2 linked regions of the Anolis sagrei genome follow. The protein of the gene in region 1 interacts with the protein of each later gene in a pairwise test. Links are inferred from orthologs where the notes say so. Each region holds a gene or a part of one and is shown on either strand. Other genes may lie near its edges. The genes, in order: RPS14 and KRR1.

The links.
Region 2: the proteins of RPS14 (region 1) and KRR1 interact in binary tests that used the Homo sapiens proteins (3 or more experiments, as listed by UniProt). The link is inferred for Anolis sagrei from reciprocal best matches to the Homo sapiens genes RPS14 and KRR1.

What each region holds. Positions count from the first base shown.
Region 1 is NC_090022.1:85,398,159-85,406,764, forward strand, and holds the start of RPS14 (small ribosomal subunit protein uS11), read left to right. Parts: upstream 1-4,907; 5' UTR 4,908-5,016; intron 5,017-8,235; 5' UTR 8,236-8,237; coding exon 8,238-8,386; intron 8,387-8,606.
Region 2 is NC_090025.1:146,260,988-146,269,220, reverse strand, and holds the start of KRR1 (KRR1 small subunit processome component homolog), read left to right. Parts: upstream 1-4,879; 5' UTR 4,880-4,932; coding exon 4,933-5,011; intron 5,012-7,323; coding exon 7,324-7,499; intron 7,500-8,039; coding exon 8,040-8,174; intron 8,175-8,233. UniProt on the Homo sapiens protein: Part of the small subunit (SSU) processome, first precursor of the small eukaryotic ribosomal subunit.

The sequences.
Region 1 (8,606 bases):
CCCATGCCCCATAGTGGTCGCTTTAAAGAACTTCGGGACAGAAATAATTTTGCAAAAATTGTTTTCAACCCATGGGGAACTCAGGGGCCAGCCAAACGTGGTGCAAATGCTTTCTATACCCCTAGATTGTATTTGGGGGCATTTGGAGGGTGGGTGGGGAGAAATTTGGGGTCCCACAAAAATGGCCCTGTATGCCAAATGCAGCACACAGGCTACAATTTGTCTGACTAATGAGAGCTGTATTTCTAATGTAGCTGGTTTTAGTTTCCTTTTAGCCTTGCAAAACAAGTATAATTTCCCTTCTCTCTCTTCTTAATTATTTAAACTGTAAGCTTGCAAGCTTATCTAGGTAATTGTATTTCTGCCCAGTGCCGAGACCATTTTAGTACTCTTACAAATAAATAATGAGGACAGTGATGATAATGATTACAAGGAAAGATGGGATTAGGACTGACAACAGCACAGATGAGTTTCAAATCTTCCTGGAAATTTGCATCTATCCAGGATCACATTATCATTGCTATTTCTACTGTAATTGATACATCCTTTAAAATAATACATAAAATTGTAGAATTGGACATGATACCAAATGACTTTTAGCCTAACCCTTTACCAAGTCACACTTCATACTTCATGACTTAAGTCATACTTCACAGCTAAATCATATTTCACAGATGACCATCCAACCTATTCAATATTCTTCCAACAAAGGAAGATTTTTTTTTACAGTTCAGTTCTTGCTAAAATATAGGTGATGAAACCAAGCTCAATGAAGAACAGTTGATGAATCTGGGTTTGCTTTCCTTAAGATAAGATTGATGGTGGCTATGAGAAATTTCTGAATATCTAAAGGGCAATAGTGTGGAAGATGGAGTAAGCTTGTTTTTTGCTGTTCCAGGGAAAAAGCCCTAAGAACTTCCAAATGACTACCTTGGAAGGATGTGGATTTTTTTAAAATTGGCTTTTAAAAACAGAGGTGACAGGCAGTTGTCACAGATGCTTTAGTTGTGGTTTCCTGCACTGGTGGGGTGGGGGGTAGGGTGGACTAGAAAGCTATTAGCATCGTCTACTCTACACTTAAAGAGTAGAGACATCACACTGGCAACAAAGATCCGCATAGTCAAAGCCATGGTATTCCCTGTAGTAACCTACGGATGTGAGAGCTGGACCTTAGGGAAGGCTGAGCGAAGGAAGATAGATGCTTTTGAACTGTGGTGTTGGAGGAAAGTTCTGAGAGTGCCTTGGACTGCGAGAAGATCCAACCAGTCCATCCTCCAGGAAATAAAGCCCGACTGCTCATTGGAGAGATGGATACTAGAGACAAAGTTGAAGTACTTTGGCCACATCATGAGGAGACAGCAAAGCTTAGAGAAGACAATTATGCTGGGGAAAGTGGAAGGTAAAAGGAAGAGGGGCCGACCAAGGGCAAGATGGATGGATGGCATCCTTGAAGTGACTGGACTGACCTTGAAGGAGCTGGGGGTGGTGACGGCCGACAGGGAGCTCTGGCGTGGGCTGGTCCATGAGGTCACGAAGAGTCGGAGACGACTGAACGAATGAACAACAACACTCTACACTTTCTTATAATTTACATTTATTAGTTTGGATTCTACTTTTCAGAGCAGCAAAACACAAGCATATTCCATATTCCCTGACCTTTAGATATTTGTGGATTTGTAATGTCTCAATTTTCTCCTCCAAATTACAAACCCATCTTCCTCAATTAGTCCTCGAATTGCTGCTTCCAGTTTCTTTACCCTCCTAGACACTCTCCTCTGGATGACTTCTGGCTTGGTAATATCCTCCTTAAATTGTTCAGGACTAGACATAGTACTTCCAATCCAACCAAAGCAAAATACAGTGATATTACTGCCTTTGAACCAGGCACTATACTGTTCTTTATCCAGACTATAAAAGCACTGTTTTTGCTACTGCATCACACTGTCCACTTAACTCCTGTTTAATCTATGATCTAAGACCCCTAGATTCTTTTCACATATACAGTACTGTTGTCAAGCCAGATGTCATTAATTTTCAATTTATGCACCTAATATTATGCAGCTAATATTTCCAAACTTATGTTGAAATTCATTTTCTTTCCTGGTCCCATTCTCTAGACTCTCAAGGTCATCTTGAATCCTAATTAGGACTCCGCTCAGTTTAGTGTCATCTGCAAATTTGATGAGTGGCCTCTGTTCCTTCACCCAAGTCTTTTATAAAGATGTTGAACAAAACCTGCAGTGCCCCATTTCTCTCTGGGGTGATAAGACACCACTAGCAAGCACTACTGGTTTGGTTTGCCAATCAGCTACAAATCTAAGCACAACAGCACCCAGGAATATCAGAAGGAATGCTATTGTGGGGAATGATATAACCTTGTTGAAAGCCTTACTGAAATGAAGGTGTGCTATATACCTGTCCCTGATTTAACAAGCTTCTAACTCTGTCAGAAGTACGATTAGTCTGACATGAGTCGTTTTTGAGAAATCCATAATGGCTTTTAGCAATCACAGACTGTTTGAAACTTTTTATTTATTGATGGCGTTTACTTTTTGGCGGTTGCCATAATCCTTTTTGAAGATGAGCGCCTCCAGTCTGCAAGGCCCCCATTTGTTATTCAATAATTTTCAAGTATTATAGATAAATGCTTTGAAGCTAACATTGCAAATTCATTTACTACCCTCAGGTAGTTCATTTAGCCACGCATACCTGAATTTACTTAAAGAGGTTAAGTAGTCCCGCCCCAATTCTTTTAATATTTGATATAGTATACTCAGGAATTGGAAGTTTTGTCTCTTTCGTAGGAAGTCTATACTTCTTTGTGCATTCTTTTATTTCAATTTCCCTGCACCATATTGTTTTTTAAAAATCATGTTTATTGTCATCCTCCTTTTGGAAAAGCGGCAAAATAGCTATCAAGCCGTTTGTGGAAGCCAGGATTCATCTTGACAGCTACATATTTGAGCGTGCTTATCAAGTCTGTTAGTTATATGATGGCGTAGTAAACAAACTACCTTCAGCTGACACAAAGGACAGAACTTCTTTTTATCATGGACAAATGAAACATTTGCTTATTTGTGGATACCAACTTTGTTTTGACCAGGGACCACTTTCCAACATTAGTACCGAAAGGCTTACGAATCAGTTTTTGGTCAACTTTAGATTCGGTTTGGTTATTTGGACTGCTGAGTCAGAAAATTGCATTGGATAGACCACATCAGCTCTATTTTCCGATACAGAATATATGCCATCCAGTAGTCGCCATCTGCTTGCTCACAGGAAACCATATTTAATAAGCCTCAGCACGATAAGAGGTTTTTGCAAGACCAGTTGCTCTTGTTGCAACAGCGTAGTAACAGTGAGGCCATGGACCATATTTTAATTCTTGTGGACCACTGTTGGTCCACAGACCACAGGTTAGGAACCACTGAGTTAACTGATAGATTTTCAGGACTCAGAAAATAGGCTTGATAGAATCCTTGAATTAGAATGTGCTTCCTTGGAAATAAGCGAGAGGGCTTCCTCAATATTTCTTTTCTCTTTTTGTCAGGAGTGACTTCAAGTCATTCCTGGTGTGAGAGAATTAGTCTGCAAAGACGTTGCTCAAGGGACACCCGGATGTTTTACCATCCTTTGGGAGGTTTCTCTCATGTCCCCGCATGAGAAGCTTGTGCTGACAGACAGGAGGTCATCCCACTCCCCGAATTTGAACCTACAACCTATTGGTCAGGAGTCCTGCTGGCACAAGGGTTTAACCCATTGTGCCACCAGGGGCTCCTTACAATTGTGCTGATAACAATTCTAGCTTTAGGACTAATAGCTTGAGCGTGTTTAGCCTAAAGACCTTTGAGAACTGTTTTGTTGTAGTTTTTTTTTTGGGCTATATGGCCATGTTCTAGAGCAGTGGTTCTCAACCTGGGGTCCCCAGATGTTTTTGTCCTTCAACTCCCAGAAATCCTAACAGCTGGTAAACTGGCTGGGATTTCTGGGAGTTGTAGGCCAAAAACATCTGGGGACCCCAGGTTAAGAACCACTGTTCTAGAGGCATTCTCTCCTGACGTATCGCCTGCGGATGCATCTATGGCAAGCATCCTCAGAGGTTGAGATCTCACAACCTCTGAGGATGCTTGCCATGGGTTCAGGCGAAACGTCAGGAGAGAATGCCTCTAGAACATGGCTATATAGCCCGAAAAGCCCTACAACAACCCAGTGATTCCAGCCATGAAAGCCTTCGACAATACATTTGTAAACTACTCATCTGTACTGTTATTAATGGACAATATGATTCTTGCTGGAACCAGACATGAATTCTTACAAATGGGATGGCAATGTGGTACTAAAAACTCATCTGATTGTGTGTCAGCCCTACAATTGCCCATTTTCATCCATCATCAGTCCTCCTGGCACAAGTTTAACCTATCGCACCACCAGAGGCAGGTTTCTCCTCGAGATGGAGACATGAACTCACTAAGGAGGTTTTCAGGCAGCAGGCCTTAAACCTGGGTTTGAAAGATGTCCCTGTTAACAACTTCACTGTTGAAATCGACTTCAGTGAGGAGCCAACTCTTTTCCTGCAGGCACCAATAATACAAGCCCCTCTCGCTATGCTGTAAGTGGAACCAGCCATCTTCAAGCAGAACGGAACAAGGCCTTTGGAGGGAGTAGACGCGATGGCGTCAGGCGCACTGCTGGAACGCTCCCTGTGAAGCGACCGCCGCCATGTTGAGTGAGGGCCTCCTCACCTCTTTCTCTCTCGCCCCACTTTACAAGGCTCTATGAACCTCATTTCAGTGCAGCTGGGCCTTTCTTCCTCCGCCTAGAGCGGCGGACACAGTGTCATCTCTTCTTAGTAACGATACGAGCCAAGACACTACGCCAGCTCTTTGGAGGAAGTAGCCCTCTCTCCCCGCCCTCCCAACGGAGAGTATTGCTTCCGGGTGAGACGAGGCGACCTCTCTTCCCGTGACGCTGGCCTCTTCCTTTCCGGTGCTGGTTGCCGCCTGCGAGGACACTCGAGTAAGTGGCTGAGGGAAGGGAAAAGAAGGGGGGCGCCTTCCATCCGCCGCCATCCTCCTCAGCCGGGGCTCCCAGGGCCCCTCTTTGGAGCTTTTGGGGTGCACCCCTTCTAAGAGAAGGGAGGGCCGCAATGGCCGGGCGCTTAATGGGGGATCGGGGGGAGAAAGAGGACCCCGCCATTCTCTGCCTGTCGGGCCTGCCTTTGAGTAGTCTCCTCCACTCGAAGCAGCCGTGTAGGCCTTGCGAGGTGGGCGCCCCTTCTTTCGAGCCGGGGTTTGGGCCTCTTACCTGTATTGAAAGGCTTTGCAGTACATAAATATGGAGACCTGAGGCTTTTCTCAGGCCACCCGCAAGAGTCAGGACTTGGATGGAACACATGTATTTTCCCATTCATACATCAAAATATAGCTTATGAGAACTATTCAGCAGTGGAACTCTGCCCCAGAGTGTGGTAGCTTTGGAAGCTTTTAAACGGAGGCTGGATGGCCATCTGTCGGGGGTGCTTTGAATGCAATTTTCCTGCTTCTTGGCAGGGGGTTGGACTGGATGGCCCATGAGGTCTCTTCCAACTCTAGGATTCTATGAGATGGGGCCCAAGCACAGAATTCATTTATGTTTCATCTACACCAGGCCTAGGCAAACTTGGGCCCTCCAGGTGTTTTGGACTTCAACTCCCACCATGCCTAACAGCCTCAGGCCCTTTCCTTCCCCCATTTAGCTGCTTAAGCCGCCTAAGGCTGTTAGGAATGGTGGGAGTTGAAGTCCAAAACACCCGGAGCCCCAAGTTTGCCCACGCCTAATCTACACCTTACAGATAATTTTAAAACAATTATTTTGTGCATGAAACAGTGGTGCATACGTTGAACCACCAGAAAGAAACAGTGTCACTGTTCTTAGCCACCGCTAGGCACAATTTTAAGAGTAGTTTAGGATGCTTAACCTATTTTCAGCGTATATTATTTTGGCTCTGATTAGACAGTAAACTAGGTCCCTGCACTTAGTCGATACTTGTACTTGAAAACTATCCATAAGTCCTAAAGTCTACTACATTTGTAATGCCGCTATTCCAACACATGTAGATGGCTTGCATTTCCATACAAGGCCATGGGGTTTAAGTAATTGCAGGAATTGTGGTCCTCAATTCTCAATTTAAAAGTTTTTCCTATTCCAGAGTTGGAAATTTATGATAGTCTAAAGACCAGTCTGTGCATTGCTTTGTTTCCACTTCAAATACTTCCTATACATCGGCAAATGATTGCATTTCTAATTATTTAGCATTTATTGAACTAAAAAAGAAATGATCACAGTAATGTTTTTATTTATTGTAGAAAGGATATTTTGGTTTTCGATCTAGAAAAGAATACATAATAGTCACAGGGAGAATTCAAGACAGATAAAGGCCTCTAATATTAGACTGGACATAACTGATGCTATTTGGTTGTTAGAATTCATAACCATATTTGTAAAAGGGGAAAGGTTTATTATATGATCCAAAGAGAAACCAGAGTATACTTATATCCATATTTGTGACAAATAGTAAAGGTTTTGATTTGATATCATATGGTTTGGGAACTTAGTTTAAAATTTTAAATATGGCAACACTGAAGTTTCTGTGTTCTACATGAGATGCTTATTTCTTGTTCTGAGGATGCATCTGCACTGTAGATTTATTCAGTTCAGCATTACCTTATCTACCATGACTGAATGCTGGGACTTGTCTTTTTGCAATGTCTTCAGTATTCTCTGCCAAAGAGAGCTGCTGCCAGCCAAATGACAAATTCCATACCATTGAGCCATGACCATTAAGTTGGTGTTAAACTGCACAAACCATGGGCAGCCAGATATATTTCCTGTCTGTAGTGTTCCTTATTCTTAAAATGTTGGATTGAAAATGAAGTTGGTGGAATAACCTCTAGCAGTCTTCGCCAGTGTTTTGTTCATAATGACTTGCCTGGGATACACTGAAGTGTACAGACTTCATAGCAGGCTCATATGATAAGCGTGGCAAAAGGTGGACTTGATGGCCCTTGTGGTCTCTATGGCACTAAGTGTTATGGCCAGAGGAAAGAAATTCACCACAGGTGTGCTGATTCCCTGCCTAAATATCTTAAAGGCACCAGATCCTGTCTGATCTTGGATGCTAAGCAGTGCTATCCCAGGTTGGAACTTGGGTGGGTGGACAGCAGTGAATATCATGTGCTGTAGGATATATTTCAGAAGGAAGAATTGGCAAAATCTCTGAGTATTCCTTGCCTAAGGAGGCCATATGAAATTCCTGTGCTTGCCATAATCCAACAGGTGATTTGAAGGCATATACACACATACGATGCTTCCAGTGCATCCTCATTTTAAATGTAATGTGCTGTGGGGAGTACTGAATTTTCTAACACTATTTGATTTGTGCTGTCTTTGCCATGCAAGTAAATAGCATTCCAAGATAAAATAATACTGAATTCTTCAAACCTCTAGCTAGGATGCTGGATATTACACAGTTTTGCCAAAATAGATTTTTTTAATGAAGACCATGATATTAATTGGAATTCGCATCCTATGTTTAATGAAACCGACATTCAAAATATTTAGGTGCAAGTTTACTGCAAATTACTATTATCTTTAGGTCCATACTGTTTCAGGTTTAAAAGACATTAAAACTCTTAGATTCACTGGGTATGTTTTAATCATGTCTGCAACCTTACTAAACCATGGTGTAATTAAATGCTATTCAGCATGTTTCCTCTTGGATGTATAAGAAGAATAATAATTCTTCTTGATACTGGACCCACTGTTTTGCCTCTCTTTGTTTTTTGCCAGCAGAGCAAGATGCTCACTGTGGAGACTGTTACCTTTTTTTTTTCTCAGCTGATGAGTTTTTTGCTCTCTCTCTTGTCTGTATTATAGAAAAACATACTGTATATTGGAATATTAAATTCCCACATCATACAGTGATTTCCTTTTGCTCTTCTGGAAGGCAAAGCTGGTTGTTTTTTTGTTTTTTTTCTGGGGGGGGGGTGACTGAATTGCTGGGACTGATTCATGTAAAAAGGAGTGTCTCTCAGCATGATTCCCCTGTTGGCATTCTTTAATATGGCCTGCTTATAAGAATTGGACCTGTATTAGTCAGCTTGCATCTTGATCTAATGCAGCATTATAAATAGTACTGCTCCAAGAAAAAGTACTTGGACTTATGCCTCCTCCATATCTTCTTGCTTTCTTACACAGAAATGGCACCTCGTAAGGGCAAGGAAAAGAAGGAAGAGCAGGTCATCAGTTTGGGACCCCAGGTTGCTGAAGGAGAGAATGTGTTTGGAGTCTGCCACATCTTTGCTTCCTTCAATGACACTTTTGTTCACGTAACTGATCTGTCTGGCAAGTGAGTAGTTCACATTTTAGGCTGCCTGCTGTAGAAAGAGTTATTACACTCTAAAGTAAGCACATCTCTCTCTCTCTCTCTCTCTCTCTGTTTATAACCACCACATTGATGTCCCCGTCCCCCCCGCCCAACTAAATATATATTGAATGAACAACATTTAGAAGGATAGGGTTTTGGTGAATGTGTTGTCAGCAGTGTTTTATGACATTATCTGTACCAG
Region 2 (8,233 bases), on another chromosome or scaffold:
GCTTCTGCAATCCCATAAAACTAAGTTATTCCAAATTAATTAAATACCCCATAAGATTCGGACCTTCCTGGAAGTCCAGAGTCTAATGGAGTATTGGGCCCATGGGGACTCACTTTTGGGTAGTCCTAGGACTATCCGAGGGTGAGAACTCATTTGTCATCTTGAATCTTTTGGGTTCCTGAAGTTCAAAAGTCCAGGGTGGCACCCAACCCCTCTAACCAACCCCAAATTTCCCTCTAAAAATAAAGTTAAATTTACCTGGTTTCCATAGCTTTCCTCCTGGTGCCCTCCTGGCATGATGATATGACATGCCAAGAGATGGGAGAGCAAAGAGGGATCCCCCTTTCATCTCCTGGCATGTCATTTCTTCAGGAGAACATGAGGAGGAAAGTTATGGTGGCCAGGTAAGTGTAACTTTCTTTTTTATGGGAAAATGAAGGAGGCTTTGGGATGGCTGTATCTCATCCCGATTGTAATCAGGATAGCATATAGGCATCCCCACCCCAGAAAGCCCGGGGCTTTTGGCCGGCATGGGGACTCAAATCCACACCAAAGCGGGTTTTTAAAAAACCCACTATGGCACAGATTTGGGGCCTGTCTGGAATCCCTATATCTTCCAGCTTGACAGTAAAAAGTCGAACGTAGGCTGGACCTACACTACCCTCTATCCAAGAATCTGATCCCAGATTATCTGCTTTGAACTGGATTCTATGAAGGATCTACCAAACATGGGAAAATCCCAGGAGCAACTGGAATATTTAATCCCAGTTCCACCCAGCATTTAGTCCCCACATCCACCCCAAACCCTGAGTTTTCCTGGGAGCAGGCTATATGCCCTCCCAAGTCAACCAGAAATATCAGAGTTTGATCCAGGAGAGCATGGACTAGCCCCCCCCCCCCCCCCCAATTTATTCCCAAAACTTACCCAAGGAGCCTAGCAGCATGCGAAGGCCCTTGTCGAAAGCTCTTGGTGTGTCAAAATGATGCGTCAAGAGGTTGGGGGGTGGGGTAAGGAGAGAATTCCTCCTTCCTCCCCCAACTTCCCGACATTTCATTTTGCATGCAGGCCCCTCAGGTACATTTTGGGGCAAATGGGGGACTGGGAAGGGGGAGGGGGCTTCAGGAGCCTGAAAAACCAGCATCACGATGAATTGTGGAAGCAGTCCCAGTAGTTAGTCCCCACAGGGCCCACACCTGGAAAGATCTTGACCTTACATTAAGGTCCAGATCTTTCCAGGTGTCTAATTAATCCAGAGTAAACTGGGAAATCCCAGTTTACTCCAGCTTCATTTGGGTTTACTTGTCGTTTGATTAAACATGTTCTCTCTAAGGCCCCTTCTACACTGTCATTTAAAATCCTCATTTTCTACTTTGAATGGATTCTACATTGCCAGATAATCCAGTTCAAAGTAGATAATCTAGATTTTATATGGCAGTATACATGGGGCCCTAGATGGGGCATATAATGAAAGCATAGTGTGTATTATTTAGCCTACTGACTTCAGCCTTCCCTGAAGCTGTCCAAACAGACTCCAGTGTAGTGAGATTTGTCCATACAATTTCATCATACTGTGGAAGAATAAGGAGAACACATGCACTTTGAAAGTGACTTTGTGTTTTGTATACATATGATAAGGGTATTTTAAAGCATCTTTTCCTTTTCTAAGAAACTGAAGGTCAAAAAATACTCGAGAATAAATATATGCTGAGTGATCGGTTTGCATGCAACACAAATACAAATGTGCTTATCAAACTCCTGTCCTGTCTTATGACACAAAGTAGGAAACACAAATAACCTTGTGTTTCCTATACCACAATTGGCAGCAAGATGCCAATTGTGGTATAGAGTGCATCCACATTGTAGGATGAATGCAATTTGGAACCACTTTAACTGCCATAGCTCAATGCTATGTAACCTTGGGAGCTGGAGTTTTACAATGGGTTGCTGTGAGTTTTTCAGGCTGCATGGCCAGGTTCCAGCAGCATTCTCTCCTAACGTTTCACCTGCATCTGTGGCTGGTATCTTCAGAGGTTCTATTGGGAGTGAAGCAAGTGAAGTGAAGCAGTGAAGCAAGTAGAGTGTTTATATACCCGTGGCTTCTCTGTGTAGTCTGACCTAATGGTTGTCAGAGTGGTCCAGAATTTCTGTGTTCTCAAATAATATTCTGTGTCCAGGTTGGTTTATCAAGTGCTCTGTTATAGCCGGCCATGAAAGCCATCGACAATATATGGAATATCTATAGTCTTCTCTGCCAGCGTGCAGGCACTGCAGTAAACTATAAATATATGCTGTCAAACTGCATTATTTCTACAGTGTAGATGCACCCATAGTTACTAGAGTGTTGGACTAGAAGTGGAATACCTGCGCAGAGCTTTTGCTGGCATTTGCTGCCTAAAATCAAGCACAATATAGGATTTTCTGTGAAATGATTTAGACCATCAGTTGAATACTGGCAATGGAATAGCTCCCCCAAAATCTGAAAGTAGCAGTGAATTTTAAACAAATAGGATAGATCTTCTGTAACTTATGGATCTTTCCTCCAACAGAGAAGACAACAGCAGACCTTTTAAGGTTACAGTTGCAGCAAGAGAGCAATTGTGGTATAGGGCCCTTCCACACAGCCCTATATCCCAGAATATCAAGGCAGAAAATACCACATTATCAGAGTGTGGACTCAGATAACCAAGTTCAAAGCAGGTATTGTGGGATTTTCTGCCTTGATATTCTGGGATATAGGGTTGTGTGAAAGGGCCCATAGACTGCATCCACAATGTAGAATTAATGCAGTCTGGCACCATTTTAAATGCCATGGTTCAATGTTAGAATCCTGGAAATTGTAGTTTTACAATATCTTTTGCTTTCTCTGCCATACCTGTAGAGATGCCAGAGTGAAAACTGGACCATTAATTGTTGTGCAAAACACAGTTACTATTACTAGGGGTAACTATACTGTAGCATTAATGTAGTTTGACTCTGCTTTAATAAGTTGAGCCATGACATCCTGAGAGTTGTAGTTTTAGAATGGATGGACATCTGTTGGGGGTGCTTTGAATGCATTTTTCCTGCTTCTTGGCAAGGGGTTGGACTGGATGGCCTACGATGTCTCTTCCAGCTCAATGATTATATAAGGTCTTTAACCTTTGCTGCCCAAGAGTGCAGGTTCGTTACCAAACTACAACTCCCAGGATCCCAGATTATGGAGCCATCGCAATTAAAGTGGTATCAAAATGCAGTGTAGATACTCTTTTGCTTGCACGGCAAGAATACATGCTAAAATTCCCTGCTCTGCACAAACATTGAAGCTACAACACGTCCCCTCCAGCTTTCAGTCTGACACCTCAGCTGTAAATAATTTGAAAGTAACTCTTCAAACTTTAATAGGTACAGTAAAAACACAGCACATGGTACAAAACATTTCCTCTTGCAGACCTGACCTTCAAGATTTGGTTAATCACATATTCGGTGAAAGGTGAGTAATTTCTCAGAAGCAGTACACAGATAGTTGGTTATATATACACACAAAATAAATAACCTAGAAGAGGTAAAGATAAAGGACAAGATAAGTAGGACAAGAAAAAAAAGGAACGAACTACACTGCCATATAATCCAGATTATCAAAGCAGAAAATCCACATTATCTGCTTTGATAGTCTGGATTATATAGCAGTGCAGAAGAGGTTTATTTATTTACAGTATTTATATTCTGCCCTTCTCACCCCACAGAGGACTCAGAGCGGATTACAATGCACATATACATGGAAAACATTCAATGACATTTAAACATACAACATATATAGACAGACACAGAGGCATTTAACATTCCAGCTTCATGGGGGTATGCTTGATTCTGGCCAGAGGGGGAGCTGCCGCTTCACTGTCCACTTGTGATACCGAGTCCTTTGATAGAGTACTTCCTCATTCTTCTTCACTCTGTTGGGGGTTTTTTATGGCATCGTAAATTAGTTAAATTAGCCTCCCCGCATAAAGCGGTACCTAAATTTCCTACTTGACAGATGCAACTGTCTTTCGGGCTGCATAGGTCGACAGCAAGCTAGACTATTAATGGTCGGGAGCTTCCTCCGACCCCGGCTGGCTTCGAACTCATGAGCCCTTGGTCAGTAGTGATTTAATGCAGCTGGCTACTAACTAGCTGGTCCTGAGAAACCATCTCCCTCCTCATTACCTCTGAGGATGCTTGCCATAGATGCAGGCGAAACGTCAGGAGAAAATTTGCCTCCAGAACATGGCCATATAGCCCGGAAAAACCTACAACAACCCATCTCCCTCCTGCTACACAAAAACCTGCCAATTGAATCTGACTCCAGTAGTGGATATTATTGGGCCATCCTGCTGTCGATTTATCTACACTGTAGACTTAATGCAGTTTGATACCACTTTAACTGCCCATGGCTCAATGCTATGGAATCGTGGGAGTAGTAGTTTTCCAAGGCCTTTGCTTTGCCTGCCATAGAGCGCCCGTGCCTTACCTAACTACACTCCCATGACTCCATATACTAGTTAAAGTGCTATCAAACTGCATTAATTTTACAGCGTAGATGCATCATTGGTATCAGCAAAACAAGACTAAAACGTGGAATACTTTGCAATCAGTCGTTTACATCAAACCTACTAGAGATACTCTCAGAAAGAGCCATACACTGTGGTTCTCTTAATGTATGGGCATTTTGGACTTCAACTCCCAGAAGCCCAAGTCGACTTGGCCAACGGTCTGGAATTCTGGGAGTTGAAGTCCCCCTTCCCAAAGAAGTCTAAGGCCAAATTGGTTCCAATCGCTTCATCATTCTACTACGATGTATCACTCTTGACTTTTCTAGTTCTATGTGTGCCTTTATTGTGGGATGAGAACATCCGGGCTCTTCGGCTCACAGAGCGGCTGTACTTCCGGGTGAAGGGGAGGAAGGTGGGAGCAGCATGGCTGCGCCCGGGGAGAGTGAGCGAGGGAAGGGGGAGCCCGAAACGAGGAGCCCCAAAGGCAAGAAGGCGAGCAAGGGTGAGTGTAGGCTCGTTTGGATCAGGAAGGGTCCCCTCAAAAGCAGGCAGGCTAGAGAGGGCTCAGGGCCTTCCACACAGCCATATAACCCAGAATAACAAGGCAGAAAACCCCACAGTAGCTGCTTTGAACTGGATTATCTGAGTTCACACTGCCATATAATCCAGTTCAAAGCAGATAGTGTGGGATTTTATTCAGCTGAGTGGAAGGGACCTCAGGCAGAGCCTTCTTTCTCAGGAGCTTTCCACACCATACATTTATAGTGTTATGGTTCCATTTTCACCGCCCTTGTAGGATTTTGGGGTTTGCAGTTCAAGGGGGTGTGTGTTTATAATTCGCATCTAGAGGGCACATGCCAGGATCAAGTGGAAACACAGCGCAATAATTTGATATTGGTATGATTATGGGTCCTTCCATACAGCCCTGTATCCCAGAATATCAAGACAGAAAATCCTACAATATCTGCTTTGAGCTGGGTAATCTGAGTCCACACACAGATAATGTGGGATTTTTTGCCTTGATATTTTGGGATATAGATCTGTGATCTTAACTCCGAAATGCTTGGGGCCAGAAGGTGTTGGGATTTTTCTCTAATCCCTGTATTTGCATATGTATACATATTGCGCATCATTTAAGGCTCCTTCAACGCTGCCATATAAAATTGATATTATTTGCTTTGAGTGGATTATATGGCAGTGTGGACACATAACCCTGTTCAAAGAAGATAATGTGGATTATCTGCTTTGCAAATCTGGATTATATGGCAGTGTAGAAGGGACCTATGTTTCATATCTGCACCTTGAAGGTAATTTCATGCAATATTTTAATAATCTTGTACACGAAACAAAGTGTTGAACCATTAAAAAAAACAAAAGTGCTACTATCTCAGGCTGGATCGACGCTGCCATATTGGGACTTCAGAAAGTGGATTACATGGTAGTGTAGATTGGGCCTTAGCCACCCATGTGGACCATTTTGGAGCATTTCATCTTTTAAAACCCTGGGCAAGAAATGTGCCACCAACTTGCTCCTGGGTTTTTGATTCTAAGCAAAAAAATATATATATTGGCTGTGTTTGAATAACAGATTGGTATTGAATCTCATGCATTTTTGATGTTTCTGAGGTGTGCATATTCTTGAATTATTGCTAAATGTAGGAGCCCCTGGTGGCGCAGTGGGTTAAACCACTGTGCTGGTAGGACTGAAGACCTACAGGTCGCAGATTCGAATCCGGGGAGAGCGCGGATGAGCTCCCTCTATCAGCTCCAGCTCCTCATGCGGGGACATGAGAGAAGCCTCCCATAAGGATGATAAAGCATCAAAACATCCGGGCGTCCCCTGGGCAACGTCCTTGCAGACGGCCAATTCTCTCACACCAGAAGCAACTTGCAGTTTCTCAAGTCGCTCCTGACATGACAAAAAAAATGTGCCCTCTCATGATAGATTATTGCTTTACAGCTTTTTTGTTCTCCTTGCTCTACTTAGCATGGAGACAATTGATTTGAAAACTCTTGGATTGGCATGGAGTAAATTGTTCAAGAAGATAATGCTTTTAAAATCATTATTAGTGAGGGGAAAACAAGACATGATTGGAAGAGTCTGGAGCGGTCACTGTTGCATCCTGATGATTATTACTAATGAAAATAATTTCTCAAAACTCCTGCTGCTTAAGACTGTTAGAGTTGCAAACTGGGATCTTCTATTTTTACTGACTGTTATTGGTATAAAGTATTTTTTACTACACTCTTCGGTTGAAAGGTCTCCCACAGTATATATTACATTAGTTTTACCAGGTCAGAATTATTCAGGGGCCCAAAGCCAAGACCTGGGATGCCATGGGAGTGATGCCATTAAGCATGATAAACATAACAAAATGCCATTAAACATGATGAACATTAAACATGAGACAGCACATATCAAATACAGTTTCACACATAATGCAGTTCACATTTTTTTAAAAAAAACAAAAACATATCTAAGTTTAACACACGAGAAAGCACACTGCAGCAGCCTGCTGATCCCTGAGGAATGACAAAAGGGGGACAGGCCCTGAAATATGACAACTCTAATACACATCGATCTTATGGGCTTACAGTCTAAAAATGCAAAAGAAATAAGAAGGGAGGAATAAGGTGAACCCAAGCACTAATTAGAGTTGGCACCGTTTTTGAAGTGTGGCAATTTCCCATCATCAAGCTTCAACATACAGTTGTTGTGGTCTCTTTCTGTCTTTCCTGCCTCTGTTCCCTGATCCTGCATTTCTTAATCAGAGAAAACCATTCTAATATATATGTATATATTTTTGTTAACAGTAGATGAATCGGAACTTCTTACTGTTCCTGATGGATGGAAAGAGCCAGCCTTTAAACGAGAAGATAATCCTAAAGGACTTCTGGAAGAAAGCAGCTTTGCCACTCTCTTCCCAAAATACAGAGAAGCATACTTGAAAGAATGCTGGCCATTGGTGCAAAAAGCACTGAATGAACATGTAGGGCTGTTTTTAATACTTTCCTCAAGCTTCCTATGTTTACGTTTTATTTCCCAAACCTAGATGCATTGGGGTGGGTCAGAGAGGAGGATGAGTAGGGCCATTTGGCATACTTTTGAATGGGGAATTCTAAAGCTGCCTCTATATTTAAATTTAATTGCAATAAATGGACATCAATGAAAAGTCCTGTAATTTCTTGGAGTTGGTTCTGGGACCCGCCATGGATGCCAAAAACAAAACAAAACAAAAAAACCAGACATGAATGATTACATTCTATATTAAATGGCAGCTAACCAATTATGCTTCAGTATGTCCACATTTGTTCTGCTACCATCTGTTTAATATGGTACAAGATTGCCTGCAGTTGCTGGAAATGGCAGATCTGGATCTCAGTGGCCTGGAGCATTTGTAAATGTAAAAAATATCTTGTGTTTTATTGTGTTGGTATTCACAATATAATCTGTAAACCCTTTTAATGATTGTGTTAAGAACCAGTTGTGCTGCTATATAAAACTCTTACTTGCTTTTTTTGTGTTTCAGCACATAAATGCGGCTTTAGATTTGATTGAAGGAAGCATGACTGTTAGCACAACAAAGAAGACCTTTGACCCCTATATAATCATCAGAGCCAGAGACTTAATAAAGCTTTTAGCAAGAAGTGTTCCATTTGAACAGGTTTGTTCAGTGATTAAGAGTTATGATTCTGTCCTATAGTTCTATTAAATTGTTTGAAA